Linked DNA regions of Astyanax mexicanus. The protein of the gene in region 1 purifies or fractionates together with the protein of each later gene. This does not show direct contact. Links are inferred from orthologs where the notes say so. Each region holds a gene or a part of one and is shown on either strand. Other genes may lie near its edges.

Region 1 (7,337 bases):
ATCCAAATGAGAGAGAACAATAAAGCTGCAGAGAGAATTCAAGGATACGAGGGCACCAAACTGCCACCATGAGGCAGCTTCGTGAGACAGACACTAGTATATGAGTGTTATCACCCATTCAGTTATTGGGTGACAGATACTCATTGTTTAGTCTGAAATCCAAACCTAGGATTCAAAGAGTTAATGTAGTTTATCAAAATTGGTTATATCTATATATATAATTTAGTTGGTGGTTTTAGTGATCTGATATGTGACTGTTTTAAATGCGTTTCACAACATCTCCTGAGGTGGTTTGAGGGGTCATATTTTTGCCTGTTTAAAATGGGTCTCAGACAACCTCCTGAAGTGGTTTAAGAAATTAGATATGTGTTCATTTTAAATGCATCTCATATTATTCTCTGAATTGGTTTGAGCGATTGGATTTGTGTCTGTTTTAAATGCGTCTCAGACCATATTCTGAAGTGGTTTAAGGAATTGGAATGGTGTCCCTTTAAAATCTGTCTCAGACCACCTCCTCTAAGTCTTTTTACAGAATTTTGCAGCTTTTCTGTGAGCATTTGATTGTATTCAGTGAAAGGAATGTTAGTTGATACCAGGATGTTGGATCATCATGACTGATTGTAGGCTTCTCGCTATCACAGAGTTATTTTTCCATCCAAAAGTGTGAGAACAATAAAGCTGCAGAGAGAATACAAGTAGGAGCATATGAAGGTATTTAATCGCCACCGTGGGGCAGCTTCAAGAGCCTTGGTTATTGAAAAAATGATTTTTTTCTCAAATGTCAAGTGGGATATTAAAGTTATTATGGTCATTATTTCAGCTCTTCTTTTCTCATGATAAAGCCAGGGCCTCAACATCAGTCCATCATTAGATGAATATTACAGGTGAGAATAGAGGCTAGTTGGTGGGGCGGGCGGTGGAGTTTAAGGCTTTAGTTAAAGGTCTTGGACGGGCTTCTGTCAGATAAAATCAAAACACTGACCTGCCAAAAGCCATCAGACTGCAGTATGTAAATTGTAAAAATTATTTAAAAAATAATAAAATGTTGAGGTGTTATCTTATGAGTGAGGATGTATTGTTGAACACTGTCCAGTGTTCAAGTTGACGCGAATTATGGGAGTTGGAGCGAGGCCTGATATAGAGTATGCATGGATGGGATATTCTATTTTGGAATGGGAGGTAATTGTCATGTCCTGCAGTGTCTGGCTGGAATTGTCCTTATGAACTCCAGATTCCACATCCATGCATTTCCTGCACTTCAGTGTAGTGTTTTTATCTTCTATGGGACAGTTCAAAAATGACTGGGCAAGAAAATTGTCCTATGACTTTTGGTATAGTGTTTTTCTAAACGCTTGTTCCTGAAATCCTCACAGCGATGCTGCTCCAAAATCTAGTAGAACGACTTCTCTGAAAAGAAGAGACAGTCACTTTTGTTCATTTATTTATCTAGATCTGCTGGGTTCAATCAACACTTAAATCCATCTCATTTAAATACATATAGTACACACTAGTACCTAATCTGACCTGGTTCATTCATACACTCACAAAAAGCTGGTAGGACAAAAAAAACTGTACATTTTTAGAAAAATACATGGACCAAAGTATTGGAACACCTGTGTATTCATTGTTTTGTTTATAGTCACAGGTTTTAAAAAGAGTTTATCCTGCTTTTATTTGTAGAGAAACTGAATAAAACAAATCCAGTTTCTTGATTATATCCTGATGATATTTTAACCACTTAGTAAACTAACTAAACTGCAGTTAATCAGACTGAAATGTAGTTGCTGGTTTGGATGAAATATGCAGATTAGCTAGTTTTGTTGCAATTATTACTGGTGTTTTGTTGTACTGGGAGGAGTTTTGGTTGTGGAATGCATCTTGGAGAGACAGATGCGATCACACTAATATGACATGTGGCTCAAATGATTATTGGTGTGTTTATACTTGCATTTGTACGTGGTTTGACCAAATTCAGGCACAATTCTAATACTCAAGACACATGAAATGAAAAGGTGTAAATGAATTAACTGTAGGATTTCTACAAGATTTTACAGCATGGCTGGGAGAATTTGATTACATTTAGCAACTGCACTTTAGCTGATCCACTCACTGCACTTACTGCACTACTCTTCCTTACAATTCATCTCCAACCATCTCCAATTTACCCCAGCAGCTTCAGCACTGAGAGATGTTTAGGCCGAGTGGGAGAAGATGAGGTGCAGTTGAGTTGGCAGTATGAAAACATGCTCACTAATTACTCACGCTCATTTACAGAAATAACTACAGCAGAGACAACTTCTCTCAGACAATTACCCACAGCATGATTTTACAATGGGAGATGTGATGTTTTGGATCCCAGTCACAGGGATTGTACTCAGAGTAAAAAAGGCTTTTCTGCCCCCATGTGGTTGAGGAATAGCTCTGTGCATTTAGGCTTCTAACATTGTGCTTAAAAATTCCAAAAACGTATGCAAAAGGTAGTCATATTCTGTCAAAAAATTAACAATTTTTTTTACATTCATTTATGAATATTCTTGCATATTGTCAATGTTTGACAATAGTGTATTAGCAAAATAACAGCATATTTGTAAAAGGTACACAAAATGTGTTAATAGTGATGCTATTTCTTCATATCAAATACTTTTTATTTTATGGTTAGTTTTGTTACAGCTGCATCTGAATGGTGTTATGAAACAATTTAGAGACTGTCCTAAATTTCAATAATCGCACACATTTCAGTACACCATGCACATTACTAAGAAAATGCTGTCAATTTTTTTTTTTTATATTTTTATACAGAATGCTTGTCTTATAAAAGCAGCCTAGGCTAAAAATATTCTGGGTCTAATTTTAGTTTAAAAACAATAGTATAAATAAGGTTTTTAATTACTATATTATAATGAGTATGAGACATTTTGCTAATGATGTATTATTGGTATTAGTACCTAGGAATAAAGTAAAAAAATATACACAGAAATTCACAGGTGTACCATTGTCTCTGTCGCTCTGCTATCTGTAGAGCTATAGATTAAGTATAAATAGATACTAAAAAGATTTACTGCAGAGCAGCTTTGGACACAAATAGCTGTCTAAATACACCCACACGGAAACACTACACTAAACTACACTACACTAAACAGCTTTACTAATTAATGACTGCTACCAAAAAGATGGTCCTGAACACACTCTTACCACCAAGCAATACTGTAGCACCCATGTAGCAACAATCTGGCAACATTGTTTTATCTCCTGTGCAATACCATATTAATAATCTGGGATACCATAGCATCATCCTAGCAAATATTGAACAACGCAATACCAACCACCAAGCAATGCAAAGATAAGAGCTGTAGAAAAGGTATATATAAGCAGAGATACATAAAGAGAATGGTTTTAATATTAAATCCATATTTATGGCGCTAATGTTGTAACACACATACATTTGATCACATTTGACCTTCTCATTTAATGTGTTTATTTATTATTTTTCCCTACATTATACAGTAATATTTATAGTCAGAGCACATAAGAAATCATGTATAAACTTAAACAAACCAAAATACTGAAGCATTTAAGCTCTAATCTGGGGTGCTGTTAACTTGTGGTTTCTGAGGCTGTTAACTTTGATTAACTTATCCTGCGTAACACATGTAACTCTTGCTCTCCCTTTCCTGAGTGGTCCTGATAAGTGCCAATTTCATCATAATATTTTTGATGGTCTTTGTGACTGCAGCTTTCAAAATTCTTTAAATGTTTTGGATTGCCTGACCTTTATTTCATTTATTTCAAAGTATTTTATTTTCTTTACTTGGTTGAGCAGTTCTTGCTATAATATGGATTAGTACATTACTCAAATAGAGCTATTCACTGTATATCAACTCTACCTCTTCACAACTTTACAACTGAGAAAACTATCATGTAAACAGGAGGTGCTACTTTAAAGTGTGTAAAAAATAACATATGTTCTGGTTTGTTTTACAGTGTTTAGTTTACTAAATAATCCCATGTTTGGATGACTTTAGTATTAATCTACAATGTAGAACACTTAAAAATAATTAAAAAAAACACAGAATGTAAGGTGTGTCCAAAATTTTGTCTGGTATTGTTTATTTAAAGTACTAAAAATGAATAATAAATTAACTTCCTCTCTTAAATAATTAAAGAGGATAATTTTCAGCCTAGGTCCTAGCGAGGATGTTTGGGATGCGAAATTGGTAATGACGTCATGTTACAGCTAGCGGCCGCTGTCACGCAGTGCTGAATGTGACTGGATTAAACCATTATCCATGTCAGAGGGGGAGCGCTTTAATAATAACTCCACTATAACTCTTCCAGATCTCCTCATTCTGTCTGTAGTGAAATCAGCGCGTTTAATAGAGACTAGTTAAAGCACACGGTGTGTAAATTGTTTACGGAATCGCGCTTAATTAACTTTTAAACTGTGTTCCTATGAAATCCCAGTTTCTGGAATGGTGTGAATCCTGGTTAGACTGTCTGTTATCCTTCAGTTTACTGTAATACTCTTCTATGATCCCTTACTGGAAACTGGGAAGGAGTTTCTGATTGACAACAGGAACCGTATATTATTAAGGTAGGTGTCATACTGTTAGCTATTATAGGTGAGCTATATTTGTGGTATTGATCCATATTAATAGTCTGTGCTTACTGTCTGAGGGAGGGTCGATAAAAAGTTGTCAACTGTCAGCTTTGGCTAAAATAGGCTAATACAGCTTTGATATATGAAACTACGTTGTGTAGTGTACTGTAATATTATTTAATAATCATCCTTTAAATGTATAATCATCCATTGCACTATAGCCTGCATAGCAAAAATAATGTATTTAATTTATGTTTATTTTTAATGGCGCTACTCCAACAGTAGAGATATAATGCATGTTATTTATGTATGAATAAATCAGAAATAACTTGGATAAACCTGCCCTCCAGACTTTTTTGCTCTTTTTATTAACAGTGAAAATGTGTCACGATACCTTTAAGAAAGACGACACTCGCGGCAGTGACGAAAGACTGATTCACATTACAGAACTGATTCAGTGATTCAACAGTTCACTGATTCAGCCCTGAATCGTTTATCGCTCCATTCAATAATACATAGTTGATTCAGTTTTTAATCTATTTTATGTCCAGTAAAAATAATAATATAGCATAAAATTGTCTTACTGTTTGACAACTTTTCTTTCAGCTCTAAACGTTCCACCTTAAATAGTTCACGCTGTATTAAAGGTAACTCCAAAGTCTCATTCATTAGAAATAACGTTTCTGGTAACGCTTACTGTTTAAGGTGGAATGCTCATATTCTATTTTGGTGCGACACATCATGCAAAACAGATATATAAACGTATATAAACAGTTTATAAAATACATTGAATTGATTAAACGAGGCTGCTATTTTAACATAAATGTAAAATATTTTGATTATTATTATTATTATTATTATTATTTGTATATTCGTTTTTATTGCCAATTGAATTTTTATTTTCAATGATTATAGTATTATTCATAAAGCAACATGAAGGCTTCAGATTTATGAATCAGTTAGACTGTTCAAATGAATCGATTCTGTGAACGAGTGCGAATGTAAAATTTGCGCGCGAGATGAGGCTGTAGAGGGAAAGCCGGGGCTGCAGCCATGGAGGAGTAGTGTGGTGAAACTTTAATATTCCACCTTTAAACCACTGGAACGGCTCAGTAAAACGTTTTAGACTGAGAGGACTGTTGGACAAAGGCTGTTAGAATTTTTCTGTCACTTTAAAGCCAGATGTCTCTGGTAAGTTTGGGGTTTTTGTCTTAGTTTTGGAGGCTGTAGTTAGTTAACTCACGGTTAGCCTGCTGCCTAAATATGTTTAGGTTAGCTCACGAGCTAACCACAGCTAGTTAGCTTAGTTAGCTAGTAAGGCTAGGAAAAGGACACTGTATTTTAGCTGAATGTCTGTTTGTGTTCTTTAAAAAAAAGTTTTGGAGGAGTATAATGTCTGTATATTAGTGGTTTTGTTATGTTCCAAGCTTTAAATGAATGAATAAAGTAAAGCTGACCGGTGTAACTGGGTGATAAATGTTAGATTAAGACCACATATTCATATGTGAATATTTTGAACTAGCCACTAACGTTAATTAAGTTTGTTTGGAAAAGACAACCTACTGTTCTGTGTAATCTTCCTCTTATTATTATTATTATTATTATTATTATTATTATTATTATTATTATTTTCAGCAAATATAATCACTATCACGTCCCACAGCTTTTGAGGTAGAATCACAAAATGCTCAATAATTGCTTCATTAATCAGTTAATTGTTTGTTTAAAATTTCAGCTCAACTTAGAAGATATTGGTGATATTCTCTGGCCTCATTTTTAAACAGATAATTAAATTAATATTAAGCAAATAACTGATGGTCATCATGCAGTGTATTATATACCACATATTAGGGGTGTGCCATATTGTATCTTATAAATTATGTAAAATATTGCCATTTGTAAAAAAAAAATGTCTTAATATTTTTTTGCAAAAATGCCCTGAAATATTGATATTATTTATTAGATTATTTTAGGGCCATGTGGGCCACCGTTTTTTACTGTTTGTACCAAAAGCAAAATTCACAGTTTTATTTTTAATATCTATTAGAGACAGATAATATCTGTTCAGTATTATGTGTTTTACTTTAAACATGGATATAAGGAGTGCATTATTAGTATCATAACATGTGAAAACATTGACTTGTGTTACAATCTGGTAAAAGTCTCAATTATATTTTACTATATTATCATCAAATCATATACAAAAATATAGCTAAAAATAAAATGAATTAAAATCAAATTGTCAAAGCTGTATGTTTTAGTAGACAATTGTATTAAGGAACATAAGTCATAAACATAATCATATCACATAAGACCCATACCTTAATATTTTTTGTTTCCTGACACCGGTATGGAATATGTGTATATGTTTGTTTACATTTTTTCTATTCAGAGGTCAGAATCTCTAGGCTGCAATATACTATGTAGTCTATGTTTACATGGTATTACTACTGGTAAATGTGTCTGAGGTGAGTAGGTGTGTTGTATAGACAGGGCTAAGCAACACCCCCCTCCCCTCCTCCAGTGAAAGTAGGTTAACTAGAAGCATTATGGGTAAGTGTCACAGTTGCATAACTCTGAGTTACACAGCTTCCTCATCGCTCTGCCGGCTTCTGGTTTACAGCAGACTGGCAGCAGTGTTACAGAAGAGCACTCACACAGTTCAGTCTTTAAGTATTTATTCTTTAAACACGCCACACTTTTTTTAAACAATGTAAAACTGAAATGATGATTGACATGC
Region 2 (6,999 bases), on another chromosome or scaffold:
ATATTGTGAAATTACATTGTTTTAGGGCCATATCGCCCACCCCTATTATGGAAACCATGTATGTTATTGTGAAACAAGCGTCGACATTATGTCCAGCATGGAGGGACCCTGTCCAGAGTGTGGAAGTGGCGCGGAAAGCCCTGTCAACACGGCGTCCAACACAGTATATCCCCCACTGACCATATTTAGCTAACTAGACCATGTGCTTGGAGCAGCAAGACTCAAATTAATGACTGTAGAAACGTGTAAAAATATCCTGGTCTCTTTCGTAGGGTTAAAATTTGATAAAAACCCATTTTGAGGCATAAATAACCTAAGCTACAAAACAAACGAGCACACAGCAGCGTATACAACACGACCAGGAAGAAAGAGGAGCTGCTTCGGTTAAATCCCCCTCCTCGCTCGGCAGCACAATGCCGTCCTGCTGCCTTCCGCACCGCTGTGTGTCTATGTGTTTGTGTGTGAAGCTGCTGCATTGCCGCGACGCTACACAACAAATACCTGCCCAGATGCCTCACACACACACACTTGTTGACCCTCTGACTACATTGTTAATCTTGTCTGTCTGTGATATAAACCAAACAAGCGGTTCTGGTTCAGCTGTGGCGAGCGGACGCGGCCCGACCGCCCCGTTTGTTTTCGCCTCTGCTCGGCTAGGCCTACTCGGGCAGCCGCAGACCACGGCCCCCAGTGAGGAGGCGCGCCGGCCTGCCTGCGCTGTCACTCGGCTTGACTCTTTTGCAGCTTACCGGGTCCGAGCGCTTCCATGGCCGAGGGCTCTCTCTCCGTCTCTGTCCCGGCCTGGCGGCTCCGTACCGACACTGAAATTGGGGGCGGTATCTCGAAGCTTAAGGTGACTAATTTGAGAAATGGAAGGATGCGTATAGCTCGTCAGGGGACCGAACTCGGGCTTCGCTGCGTTGTGTGATTTAAAGCGGATCCGTGGGATTTGTAAGTGCGCATGTGCTGGAGCTGGGAGGGTCCTAACGCGCATGCGCGCTTCTGGAACCTTAATGGTAAAAGCTGCGGTTCCAGGCAAGCCCCCAGCTGTAGTTTTTTTCTTTGGAAATATATTTTAAATACATTTTTAAACTTACTTACAAAATCAAACAAACTATCAACATACAAAAGTGATATTAAACACAACATATTACAGATGATACACTACTGATAATTATAGTAAATAAAAATCTGTAAAATAATCCCATAGTGGATTTATCTTCAGGCAATCCCAATTATTGACAAGATAAAGATAGGGTGACCATATTTGGTTAAATACATGTGTTAATAAATATATAATACAATTCTATATTATTCTATATGAAACAACATTATGCTAGGTCTTAACAGAGGGAACCATATCACTTATCCAAGACAATAAGATAAACGCCCTTGCTCCATAAAGCTGCAGGTTGAATAATGTACAGGTAGAAACAAATAGATATATACTTTATCCATCCAGAAGGAAATGTAGGCATACAGTAGCTTGAAACAACACAATGCAATAAATATGCTCAGGGAACACACAGGAGAGAAGATAGCTAGATATACAAAGGGTATAATGAAAACTTTGGTAGAGCAGTGCAGCAGAAGATGGCGCAATCGTCCAATTAACAATCTACACAGCAAAAGTGCAAGATGCAAATGACATGTACCCATATGTGCATACCCATTCACACGTTTAGATGAGTAAATGCCACTGTAGTTTGACTGCACCAGAGATTAGAGGAGGAACGAAATGCCTAATGGCTCGTTAATGGCTCTGAGGGAAGGACTTAGGCGGACAGACCACATATTTACACAAAAAAAAGATTTAGGTAACCAATTAAGGTAACTTAATATTGCAGCATATATAATAGCTGATTACTCTAGTTACGTATTAATTAACTGTAGCATAAAGCGAATGGTATGGTAGAGTGCAGTTCACCTTATCACGCTACACTTCTAATAATAAGTCCACAAGCAGTTAACTTAACGCGCATGCGCGCTACTGGTGAGTATTGGCGTTCCAGGAAAGCCATCGGCTGCAGTTTTAATAAGTTACAGCTTGAAAAGGGAGGATTCAAGTGGACCGACCCCACACAGTTTACACAGGAAAAAAGCTATTGTCTATAAGGTAATGTTGCAGCATATATTGTAGCTAGGAATTTACACACATCTGCTGCAAATAAACAGAGGAGGTTGGTGGAGTGAAGTGTAGTGGACACCACGCCACGCCAATAGGAGTTCTTGGGCAAGACTCCCAACAATACATTCTCTTACGACTGTAAATGTAAGTTACTCAGTATAAGAGCAGCAACCAAATGCTGTAAATGAAAATGTAAGTATAAAATCTGTGGAACACTAGTTGTGGGGCGCAATTCCTTACCTGTTCAAAGCCAGCAATGAAGATTGTAAAACTTATTTGATATTTGATGGAAAGTGCCTCAGTCTTTTTTCCATACTGACTTAATTACCGGCTTGTAAGCGTTTAATTTGACTTATGACTGGGCAGATGTCTTTGTTTGTCCTTTGCAACAAACCGAAAAACAGGGGTGAGCAATGTCTTCATCCAGTAAGAAACATCAGTGGTATGCACTTAACATGTGTTGAGTGTGGATAAGACTAGGCTAACAACTAGTTAATGTACAAACAGTTTTTGTAATGAATTGAAAATATTTGTTAAGTATTTAAATTTTTAAAAGTCTGTGTTCATTAGATTTTAAAAAAAGAAATTGTCAGTTTAGAAACCTTTAATGCGTGAATAGGCTAAGCTGTTTTAGCTTAAAAGCTGATAGCACCTTAACTTACGTTTTTACTGTAGATCAATGTTATGCATTCCCCCCAAGTAGAATTTCTAATTTCTGTTGTTTTACGATATGTTTATTGTTAAAATGAGATATACTGATCTGTAAAGTTATCTTGATTCAGTGGTATTGCTAAGATGACAAATATGTAATTTGACCAGTCACATTGCCAGGAAGACATCCTTATGTATTTTTTACCAATACAGTCTAAATTGTAACTATTGCAAGTGCTAATTTATTTATATGCAATGAAGATATTTGTAGTAAGTTTAAGATCTCCAAAATGTTTTTGGTAAGGTATCGCTAGTAAAATAACTAGTCAAATAGGACTGTCAGAATGATTTTTATAGATATGTAGTAGGGCTGAGTGATCTTGTAAAAATATTATGTCATATGTTCTTGCATAACAACTTCAGTTTTTTATTATTTGTGGACAGGCAGCTTTTTTTGCCAATACACCTCCCCCCTTACATGCAGGTTTTTTTAAACACATTGCATAAATAACCTCCTTGTATTTCAGTTACGCAAAAGTGTAAAATATGAAAATCACTGCCATGGAAAAGAGTTCTTTACACATTTCTGACAGAAGCACAAACCTGCCTACTGTGATTCCCTCTGGCAGCTTATAATGTAAATATGTACAATCTCGAATATCCCATTTTGAAAATCACATTAAAACAGTGTGTGTGTGTATATATATATATATGTATATATATATATATGTATATATATATATATATATACATATATATATATATATATACATATATATATATATGTATATATACATATATATATATATATATATATATATATATATATATATATATATATATATATATGTATATGTATATATACTTTTAGTAACATTAGTCATTATCTGTACATCTGATATTATTATTAATATTACTAGTAAAATAATTCACCTTTGGTATCTGAAATTAGCACTTTTTCTATTAGGAAATCCTATTGCAGAGGTTTTAAAGTTTAGTTTTACCAGTAAAAAGATTTATTTTTATACAGCAGCAAAACAACACAATGAGCTATTGAAAACAACGCGCGCTTCCTATTTTAAAGATCTGCCCAATCAGCGCGAATTTAGCACGCTGGGGATCCGGTTGACCAATCAGAGAGCTCGGCAGCGTTGACGGACGGGAGCAGGAGAGGCACGGCTGTGCTGCGCGCGAAAGGTTGAAATTGTATTCGGTTTGGAGGATCCGGCGGGAGAGGAGCTCCGGTTTCGCGCTTTACTGATCTATTATTTAAAGTTCTCGGGTAGATATCGCGCGAATTAGTCGCTGTCGGGTTAACTGCTGTTTTTAGCCGCTGCTGGAGACGGTTTCTGCTGTTTTGATGAGTTTTAACACCGAATAAAAGAAGCGGACAAAAGATGAGCCTGCTTTCCGCCGAACGGGTAACTATAACTATCACGCAGCCGGGGACGGGCAGATGTATATCAGAGCTATGTTAAATATGTAGGTTATTATGTAGAAATTTTGTGCTTTTTAACTTTGGAAACGCATATAGTTAGGTTGCTAACTGTTGTCACATTAATCACACGTAGGTTAGCCAGCTAGCTAGGTAACCTAGCTATTTGACTTGGCTTGGTGGGTAGCAAGTTAGCTAGGTTAGCTATTTTGTTAGCTCGCTCGCTAAAGGCTGGTTAAATCTCTTTGTTAGCTTGTTTGCTAGCTATATTTTGGATTAATTAAATTGTTTGTCAGTTTATTGTACATTAATTCACAAATGCTGCTCCTGTTTGTACTATAGCTGAAGGTCAGTTAATCTCGGTTAGCTATAACTAGGGGTTTACGTGTGTACAAGGTGCTTGTGGGCTACATGAAGGTTAACCATTCAGCTCCCAGAATGCAAAACAAATAAAGACAAGTATCTATCTTATACTATTGATTTAATGGTAAAGTAGAAAAAGTGGATGGCAATTTGTAGTTGTTCTGCAGTGTTATGTTTAAATAATAGTTCATTTCTTCACATGATTGACCTTAATAAATAGATCAGTTTATTAATCCCAGATGATACAAAATTGGTAACCAGCAGATTAGCAGATGCAATCTTTAGATAAGAAGTGTACGGTCAAAATCTATATAAGAAAAAGAAAAATACAGGAAATATTGTGTAAGCTAGCTACAAAGTAGTATAAAACAGTATATAACAGAAAGTGTCTGCATTGTAAAGATTCAGTCATGTACAACCTGAATGAATGTACATGGTAAAAACGGTGGAATGATCTTTAGTACAGTATGATTACTGTTGTTAAAAAACAATCTCCAGTACCATTAATCAGGCTTATTTACTATAAATGTGTAACTGTAAGGATTTTTCACCAACCTTATCACTATCTCTCTTGTCTTTTTGGCCAATCGACCAGACACCTTTGTGTTTATTATCTGCCAGCCTAATTTTTACATTTAAAAAGTAACATAAATATCTTTTTAACACTGACTTCAATGTTTGCTCTACAGCCCGTGGATCTCCCTGTAGAGAGCCCCAAGGCTGACAGTGACTCAGACAGTGGAGTAGGTTCACCAATGGAGGATGCTGTGACTGAAAAGAACACTGCCACTGAGGCCCAAGGAGGTAATCTAAAAGTACTAAAAGTATTTGTGTGCAAGTAATTTAAAATTTGCTTTCTGAAACAGGAAGTCTATGTTATGATGCACATTTTGTGTTCTCTAGTTTTGCCAGTATTATTTACAGGCTTTTATAAAGCTAGGACATGGCTATTTTCAGTCTGTCATTGTATTATAAAGACTTATTTTACTATTTTGTGCTCCAGATTCTGATGAAGACATTGCTGTCAACCGGAAGGCTCGTTCTCGAAAGGTCCTTGAAGACAGTGACAGTGAAAAGGAGGAGGAGGTGACAGGGATGGCAGAAGCTCTCGTTCTTTCAGAATCTGGTGAGGAGGAGACCACAGAGGGTGATCGAGTCAAAAAAAGCCGGGGGAAAAGGATATCCCGTATTTCCATGGACAGTGATGAGAGCGAGCCAGAGAAAGATGAACCTAAGGAAGAGAAGAAAAAGAGGGGGAAGTCACAGAGACGCAAGGAAAAGGAGAAAAACAGAGGTTCTCTAGTGAAGCGTTTGAAAGAGAAGTCGGGCGCTGTTGAAGTAAGTTAAATTTAATCATTTCTGAATTAAGTATCAAAATATGTAGTCCATTTTTGACCATAATTAATTCTCTATTTTCAGGCGACCTCTTCGGGCAAGGCTCTCAATGATAGCGGCTGCCTACTTGGTGATAATGATCTATTTGATGCTCAGCTGGAAGATGACACAGCTGATGGGGAGATGGAGGAAGCAGAGTCTCTAGATGCAATTAGAGATGCTGTGAAGCAGAAGGCCAGGCACAAGGTGGGAACAGGGTACTTTCCTGAAGGGTATCAGTTCTGATCTAGAACCTGCTTTTATGTTAAGTAGTAATGTTTGCAGGGAATTTGAAGAGAAGTGGGCATATAAGGAAATTTGAATTCACCAGTTAGGGTGTACGATATAGAATAAATATCACAATATTTGTACACAATATTTGTGATTGTAAACAAAATGTATGATTATCATTAGATTCTTAAAGGCTGCTACTCAAAAACTGTACTGTGTTTAGTACAGTGATTGTCCCAAATTCACTTTAAAATGACAGTTATTTGTTTAACCTACCTGCAGCTCCATTCTCATGACATGGAAGATGATGAAGTCAATGAAGAAGACTGCTCGACGCGTAAGGTATAAGGCGCTTATTTGTCTTTCTTTTTTAACTTCCCCTTCTCCACTGTTAATTTGTGAAGCTAATTGATTTGGATAATGTTCTCAGGAGAGAAAAGCAGCAAGAGCAAGTAAGGAGGCCATGAAACAGCTCCACAGTGACAGCCAGCGGCTTGTGAGAGGTTAGTAAATAGCTGATAAGTGGGTGAATCATTCCCATTTTAATCGCTTTTTAGTCACATGCATATGCTTGGACTGATGGTTTAGACAATTAAATTAGCCACTATTAAAGATATGAAACTTATTAGAATTATATAACTGTACAGAAGCATTTGATGGGCTTTTTGTTTTTCTAAACTGTAATTTAACATGTGATTTGGGTACTGAGGTTCTTTTTAAGCTCTTACTAATCTTGTGGTATCTCTTTGTTTTCAGAATCTACTATAGGGCTACCATACCACATGCCGGAGCCAAAGGGCATTGACCATTTCTTTAA
Region 3 (6,909 bases), on another chromosome or scaffold:
CTACATTATTTCAACAAACCAACTGTCCTTTATACTATGTGACAATTTCTTGATAAATGGACCAATAGAATTTCTTCAAAATGAAATAATCTGTTTTTACATTGAAAATTACACTTCCATTGAAATTTACGAAGGTTTTATCTCTCTCCTGTAAAGTTGCTGTTTTGGAGATACTTGTTTTTCATTGGACAGCAATGATATAATTTTTATTACTTTTTTACAGTATAACATATGTGTTTTTTTGTAGATTTTGTAGCTACTTGTTAATGGTGTTAATGGTGTTAATGGTGTGTATCCTCTACAGATTGAGAGCTGGAGAAGGAAGGCGACAGAAACCTGTACCTCCAGTAATCAGCTTTTAGCAGCAGGTCAGTATCCCTGAGCTTTCAGCTTTAACACACCGTTATGAGCTTAACTGTGGTCTAAATGGGGCAAATACAAGAAAACCTGTTAGTATAGAGTTTAAACTGGTGCATAAACACAGAAATCACTTATCTGTGAATATCTGTAGCTTGTTAAAATGAGGGGAAATCTGGCAAATAGGATGGCTTTTTTGGGGGTGGAATATTACATAAAAAGGGGCAACATCTCTAACGGGAATTTTCTTTTGTTTGCCCCTCCAGCTAGAAGAAAATCCAAGGAACATGCAGAAATGCCAAAGGTTTGGCCAGTGCATGATGAAGTTTAGGTACTAGGGACTACAGTTTTTTTAGAGCGACCACATGTCTTTTTGCATTGTGAAAAAAAACTTTAAAATCTATTTTCCATTGATTTTACACTGACACATATTCTGAATGTGAATTTTCCAGCTTTAAACAGAATTTTCCACCTTTTTAACCAGATTATTGGTCTAAATCTACCTGCATTTTCATAAATAAACATCAATTGGATGAATTTAAAACATTTTTGGCTTTCTAATTGTTTTTTTTAATTAATACATTAATTTAAGTTTAGTTCTTATAATTCCTAAAATAGGTTTGTGCTAAATATAATGCTAAAATGTTAAATAAATGTTATACAAACGATATATAAAACTTTTATTATTCTTATTCTTTTTACTATAACATACAACATTTTTGCTCTTTTTTATGTTATTCTTTTTATATTTGCATTTTAAGATTTTCATAACCCTTATCTCTACATACAAATAAAATAAAAAAAATATTATTAAATCTTCTCACCCCTATTATTGCTCTAAATCTACCTGTGTTTAAATCAACTGATTGATAGGCATCAATCTGTTTGATTTTATTAGACTTAAAATATAAAAAAAAATGTAAATGAATACATCATTTTTTGCAATATTTTGTGTGCTAATAATGCTTAAATGCTAAATATATGTTATATAAATGATTCTTAAATTAAAACTTATTAAAATATTATTATTTAATAGTATTATTATATTATTATAATATGTTTTATATTTTATTTTTTTATAACACTTAATAATTAAAAATTACTGCTCTCATAAGTGATGTGTAAATGAATTCTAATGCTTTTATATGATCATTGCATCATTATATCAATGGAATAAAATGGTTAAACAATGACAATAAATTTATTTATCACTATAATGTGTAAAATAACTGGTAATTTTGAAAGGCCTAGTCTAAAACTGCACTTTAATTCTGTTTTTATGATTTTAGATCCTCTCACCAGCCACATGGAGATGGTGACGGAGATCGTGGTTCCCACTGTGTGCACCCTGTGTATTCTCATCTGTGCTATTTTCCTCATGTTCCTGCTGAGAGGTCGCCTGTAGGCCTCGTTCTGACCCTACCTGACCCTTCCCGCTCCTTTCTCCAGTCTGTTCAGTCCATTCCTCCTCACCTGTGCTCTCTGTGAGACTAACTCTACCTGCTGAAGATGCTGAAGATACGCAAGATTCTGGTTCTGAAGCTGCTGTGAGCAAACCGGTTCCCTGGAAAACGTCCTGTTGGATTATATCTGCATACACGCAAATTCCTCAGTGGATAGCTAGAGGTTTGGTGTTTGATATGAGGTGATAAATGGGTGGATGAATATATGAAAATATGAAATATCTTTTTTAAAAAGCATATTTTCATAGCTTTAATGTATGTTTTTTTGTAATATACAGTCATGGCTGAAAATTGCTGAAATTTTTCCACAAAATAAAATATTTCTCATAGAAAATTATTGCAATTACACATGTTTGGTTTTATACATGTTTATTTCCTTTGTGTGTATTGAATCAACACACAAGAAAAATGAGAGAAAAGGTCAAAAATTGCTATAATTTAATGCAAAACTCCATAAATTAGTTGGACAAAATTATCCATTTGGATGGTTTAGAGGCTTCCTATAACCATCAACAAGTTTCTTTCACCTGCTCCAGGTCTCTTATATTTGAATGCTTTCTTCTCCCAACATAAATTTTAGGATCTCTCCAAAGCTGTTCAATTGGATTTATATCTGGACTTATTGCTAGTCACTTTTTAAACTAAGTTTTGGGGTCATTGTCTTGCTGGAAGACCCAATTTTTACCTTTTTGTTCTCCGTTTCTTTTGTGTTGCTCCAATACACACAAAGTAACAAATAAACATGTGTAAAACATAACATTGTGTGATTGCAATTTTTATGGGAGAATTACTTAATTTTCTAGAAACAATTCAGGGGTGCCAACACCTTTGGCCATGACTGTTTCTTAAGTACAGTGGGGATTAAACAGAGCGATTCTGTGAAATAAGATACTGAAAGTAATGCTCAGTTAATAATAAAGACATGTATCATCTACAGTAAATATTAAATAAAGGTTTAATAACCCTGTGTATTTTCATTGTCTTTATCTACATATTTTAAAAATAAACTAAAGAGAACTTGTAGATGTTAGTTGCTGCAGAGTAAGAGCTCTTAGAATTAAGATAAGAAAGTATATAATTTTATTTGATGATACTTAGCCCAGTAACAGGCGCTAGGTGGCGCCATGTCCATTGTTAACATGGTGAGGAGCAGAGCAGCCGCAGCTCTTGAGCAATACTCAATACAAAATGCAAAAAAAAAAAAAAGAAAGAAAAAGAAACGGTTAATTTCTCCTGAAATTGTGTTAAAAAATCATTATTTATTTTTAAATTTAAATGTATTATAGAAAAGAAAGAATGAATTTTCATCTTTTTTTTCTTCTTTTTTTTCATTTCTGACTCTCAAAATCTGAATTCCTGGAAAAAAATATATTGTGTAAATGTTTTATTTTATTTTAATAGTTTATTTAACAGGGACAGTGTACATTAATTAACATTACTGTAAATGCACCAGAATTAGCCTAAAGGCTATTTTTCATCCGTTGTCCCTGAAAAAAATCTAGATTTTCTTTCCTGAAATTCTAATTGCAATTCAGTAATCTATTTTTTATGACCCTTATAATCTAAATTCTGGGGGAAAAAATATTTTCTAATTTTCTGAGGGATGTTGTGACAAAAAATCTGATGGTACAATACAGCCTTTTTTTCTTTTTTTTTTTTTTCATTTTTCCTGAAATTCAGATTGTGAGGGGCAGAAATGAAAAACTTTGAAAACTATTTATTATAGTAAAGAACAAATTAATTGTCATCTATCTTTGGCGTTGGTTATCTATTTTATAAAACAGATGGAATTAAATGTGGATGTAAAACTTGCATTTCATCTGCTTTTCCAAATTTCTACTTTTTTATATCTGCCCCTCACAATCTGAATTCTAGTGAAAAAATTGCGTAAATCAAGTAAAGATTTTTTTTTCATTTGTCCTGGGTTATAAGGGGTAGAAATAAAGATATAATATATTATACATTTATTTATATTATAATGTATTTACTGAAAGGGCTGAGCTGAGCTTATCCGGGTCAGTAGGGGACGGTAACGCGCCTACAGCAGCTCCATTACCCGCTATAAACACTGATACCATAGATACAGCAGCTGCTGCTGCACTCCGCGGGCAGAGGGAGCGATACGACCGGGGTACTGATAATTAACCCGGGATAAATCAGCGGAACGGACGGCAGTTCAGCTCTAAACCGGCAGGAATTACTGATCTGCAGCCTGTCAGATCTTCAGCTCGGTATGGAACCGTATATCCGCGGTTATCCGGAGTTTAAGTGGTTTATTCAGCGCTGGATAACACTGCTTACAGAAGCTAAAGCTAACTAAACTATAAAAGCGCGGGAAACTGGGTCATATAGAGAGCTAATAACAGCATAACCAGCATGGAATACCTTATATACCCCATACTAACTTAATTACACTGTGTGCGTAGGCTGGCAAAGTGTATATTTTCCGAAAAAAGGCTTGAAACTGAGTCACAGTTAGCCTAGCTTAGCTTTTGTTGCCGCCAAACTGCTTCCCTGTTCAACGTTATTATTTTTTTTTTTTTACCTATTTTTGTAACCAATAGAATCGGTCGTTGTCAGTCACGTGTGTTTACTATGCGTAAGCGCCATATTTAAGGTATAGTAAAGTGTATAGCAGCACAGTACAGGTGTTAGAAACTACAATGTTTTTGTAATGTTTTGAGAATTTAAAGCAATAAAACCAGAGAAACAGGATTAAAGTGTGGAAATAGCGCCCCCATACGAGCTGAGCGAAGATGACCTTGACTTTTATTTGGATTAATTAGCTGTAGTCAGAGGTGTCGACTACTGGTGGACGATATGGCCCTTAAATAATATCACAGTATTTCATGGTATTTTCGTGATAACAATTGAATTAAAATAATTTCAAAAATGCACTACTGCAACAAAATGAAAATTACATTTTATTATTGCATACGAAAAAAATATTAGAATTTAATCAGATTTGTTACAGAAGTCAATGATCCAGAATATCATGATGCTAGTAATGCACTTTGTAAATCTCGATATATCCAAGATTAAAGTAAAATAAATTATCCTGGAACGATATAATCTGTGTCTAGTAGATATATAATGGTAAATGAGAACAGTGTGAATTTTTCTTTTACTAAAAACAGCAAAAAAGTAGTACCCTGATAATTAGGGGTGAGTGATATGGCACAATATTTTAGGGTATAATATCGTTCACCATATTCAAAAATGTTTGCAATGTGATTGAGTATGATACAATTTAGCACACCCTAAGTGTTGATTTAATGAACTACAAATACTTTTAAAATGGAAAAAAAAAAACATTTTAAAACAATTTTTCAGATTTCTTTTTACTTTTGCAACCTACTTTTCACACCATTATCTGTCCTTTCTACTTGTTAAAAATGTGAAACAAACCGGTGTATGCGTTAATTTATTTTTTGTCTATTAGAGACAGTATAACCTAATACATAGCAAACTCATGTGGGGAGATTAATTTACACAGCTGTCACCAGTATTTCTTTTTTTTTTTTTTTTTATCTTAATGAATTATCATCTCTCTCCAGGGGCTTCACACCATGCTGGATCCATCAGAAAATGGTTTGTTTGACATCCCTGACTACGATCAGATAGAAGATGAGTCATTTCCCCCTCTGCCTCCACCCCTGTCTCCTGGAGAGGGAAACCTGGAAGGAGACCCTTTTGCCAATGGAGAGGGTAAAAGCTTATGTTTTTTTCTTTTTCATAATATATTGTCCCAGAAATAACTGTGGTTAACATTATTATCATAATTTTGGGTCGATGTTGTGCCTCATATCATATAATTATACAATTATAGTATGATATTGCAAATAGAAAAATGGTTGTTGGACGTTGGATGGTATTTTTTACGATAAGTTGATAAAACGATGATTGTATTCTGTGTGCGTTTAGGTGAGGCGGAGGGCGAGGTGTCGAAGCTACCTGAAGTTCCAGTTGCCAAAAGGCGAACCGTCAAGAGGCCTCAACCTAAACTAGACTCTCAGAGGTATTAATGTTATGTTGAGTTTATTATTTTAGGAAGCATGTGTCTTACTAGAGCTGGATAAATATGATGATGATATAAATTTTCTTATCGCATCGACAATAAGCATGTCAAGGACTGAACTGTACATTTTAATACAGAGTGTAAAAATCCTGTTTAATTGGATGATGTGCAAGAAAAATTAAATAAGAATCACTGTACTATACATGCAAGAGCATTTTAAGAGTAACGTAGCAGAATCTGCCACTGCTGATGCATTTTGTCTGTGTGTCAAAATATGGTGCATAATGTGTATTGAAAAATGCTTTTCAGTTTGTTTTTATGTACACATAGAGTGGTGAATATAGTGATCATATCAATATCTGAATGGTATCGTGTTGACAGATATACAGCTCTGAGAAAAAATTTGAGAGCACTTCAGTTTCTGAATCAGTTTCTCTATTTACAGGTTTATGTTTGAGTAAAATGAACATTGTTGTTTTATTCTATAAACTACAGACAACATTTCTCCCAAATTTTAAATAAAAATATTGTCATTTAGAGCATTTATTTGCAGAGCTTTTAGGCCTCAAATAATGCAAAGAAAACACGTTCATCCATCTTCCTCTTGATTATATTCCAGAGGCTTTCAATTTGGTAAAATCAGACTCGTCATTTTTAAGTTCTCTCTTATTTTTATTTTTTCCCAGAGCTGTATATTGTGATATCAAATTTTGCCACGCCCCGCTATATGTCTCTATAACAACTAATGCCTGATATCTGCAGTACTTTCCAGTCTGTCTCTCCCTCTCTTTCTAATACAGACTAACATCTGAACGAGGACTTCCAGCCCTGCGGACGTTATTTGATAATGTCAAGTTTAAGGGCAAAGGACATGAGGTACACTACACTATATGATCTCTCTGAAAATCTAGTAGAAAAACTTCTATGGATAGAAGAGACAGTTACTCCAACAAAATCAAAAACTCTCTTTAATACCCTTGATTTCAGTTGAATCAGTGAATGAGCAGGTGTCCCTATACTTTTGTCAGTATAGTGTACCTAATCATTGAATTAATTGTTGATTTAAGCTTT

Evidence for each region. Proteins that work in one complex are often made in the same cells at the same time.
Region 2: the proteins of timeless (region 1) and claspin purify together in Homo sapiens (affinity purification with western blotting; 4 studies listed by BioGRID). This does not show direct contact. The link is inferred for Astyanax mexicanus from reciprocal best matches to the Homo sapiens genes TIMELESS and CLSPN.
Region 3: the proteins of timeless (region 1) and tipin purify together in Homo sapiens (affinity purification with western blotting; 6 studies listed by BioGRID and IntAct, counting the BioPlex papers as one, with this or other methods). This does not show direct contact. The link is inferred for Astyanax mexicanus from reciprocal best matches to the Homo sapiens genes TIMELESS and TIPIN.

The regions. Positions count from the first base shown.
Region 1 is NC_064431.1:13,107,165-13,114,501, forward strand, and holds the start of timeless (protein timeless homolog), read left to right. Parts: upstream 1-4,335; 5' UTR 4,336-4,591; intron 4,592-5,612; exon of another isoform or gene 5,613-5,788; intron 5,789-7,212; exon of another isoform or gene 7,213-7,257; intron 7,258-7,337. UniProt on the Homo sapiens protein: Plays an important role in the control of DNA replication, maintenance of replication fork stability, maintenance of genome stability throughout normal DNA replication, DNA repair and in the regulation of the circadian clock.
Region 2 is NC_064410.1:53,519,376-53,526,374, reverse strand, and holds the start of claspin, read left to right. Parts: upstream 1-3,978; 5' UTR 3,979-4,176; coding exon 4,177-4,200; intron 4,201-4,238; exon of another isoform or gene 4,239-4,261; intron 4,262-5,266; coding exon 5,267-5,381; intron 5,382-5,580; coding exon 5,581-5,915; intron 5,916-5,996; coding exon 5,997-6,158; intron 6,159-6,464; coding exon 6,465-6,524; intron 6,525-6,612; coding exon 6,613-6,685; intron 6,686-6,938; coding exon 6,939-6,999. Other genes in the region: ago4 (protein argonaute-4), read right to left, coding at 750-768.
Region 3 is NC_064430.1:4,940,175-4,947,083, reverse strand, and holds the start of tipin (TIMELESS-interacting protein), read left to right. Parts: upstream 1-3,888; 5' UTR 3,889-4,051; intron 4,052-5,377; 5' UTR 5,378-5,389; coding exon 5,390-5,528; intron 5,529-5,744; coding exon 5,745-5,838; intron 5,839-6,638; coding exon 6,639-6,714; intron 6,715-6,909. Other genes in the region: lctla (lactase-like a), read left to right, coding at 305-368, 1,647-1,762.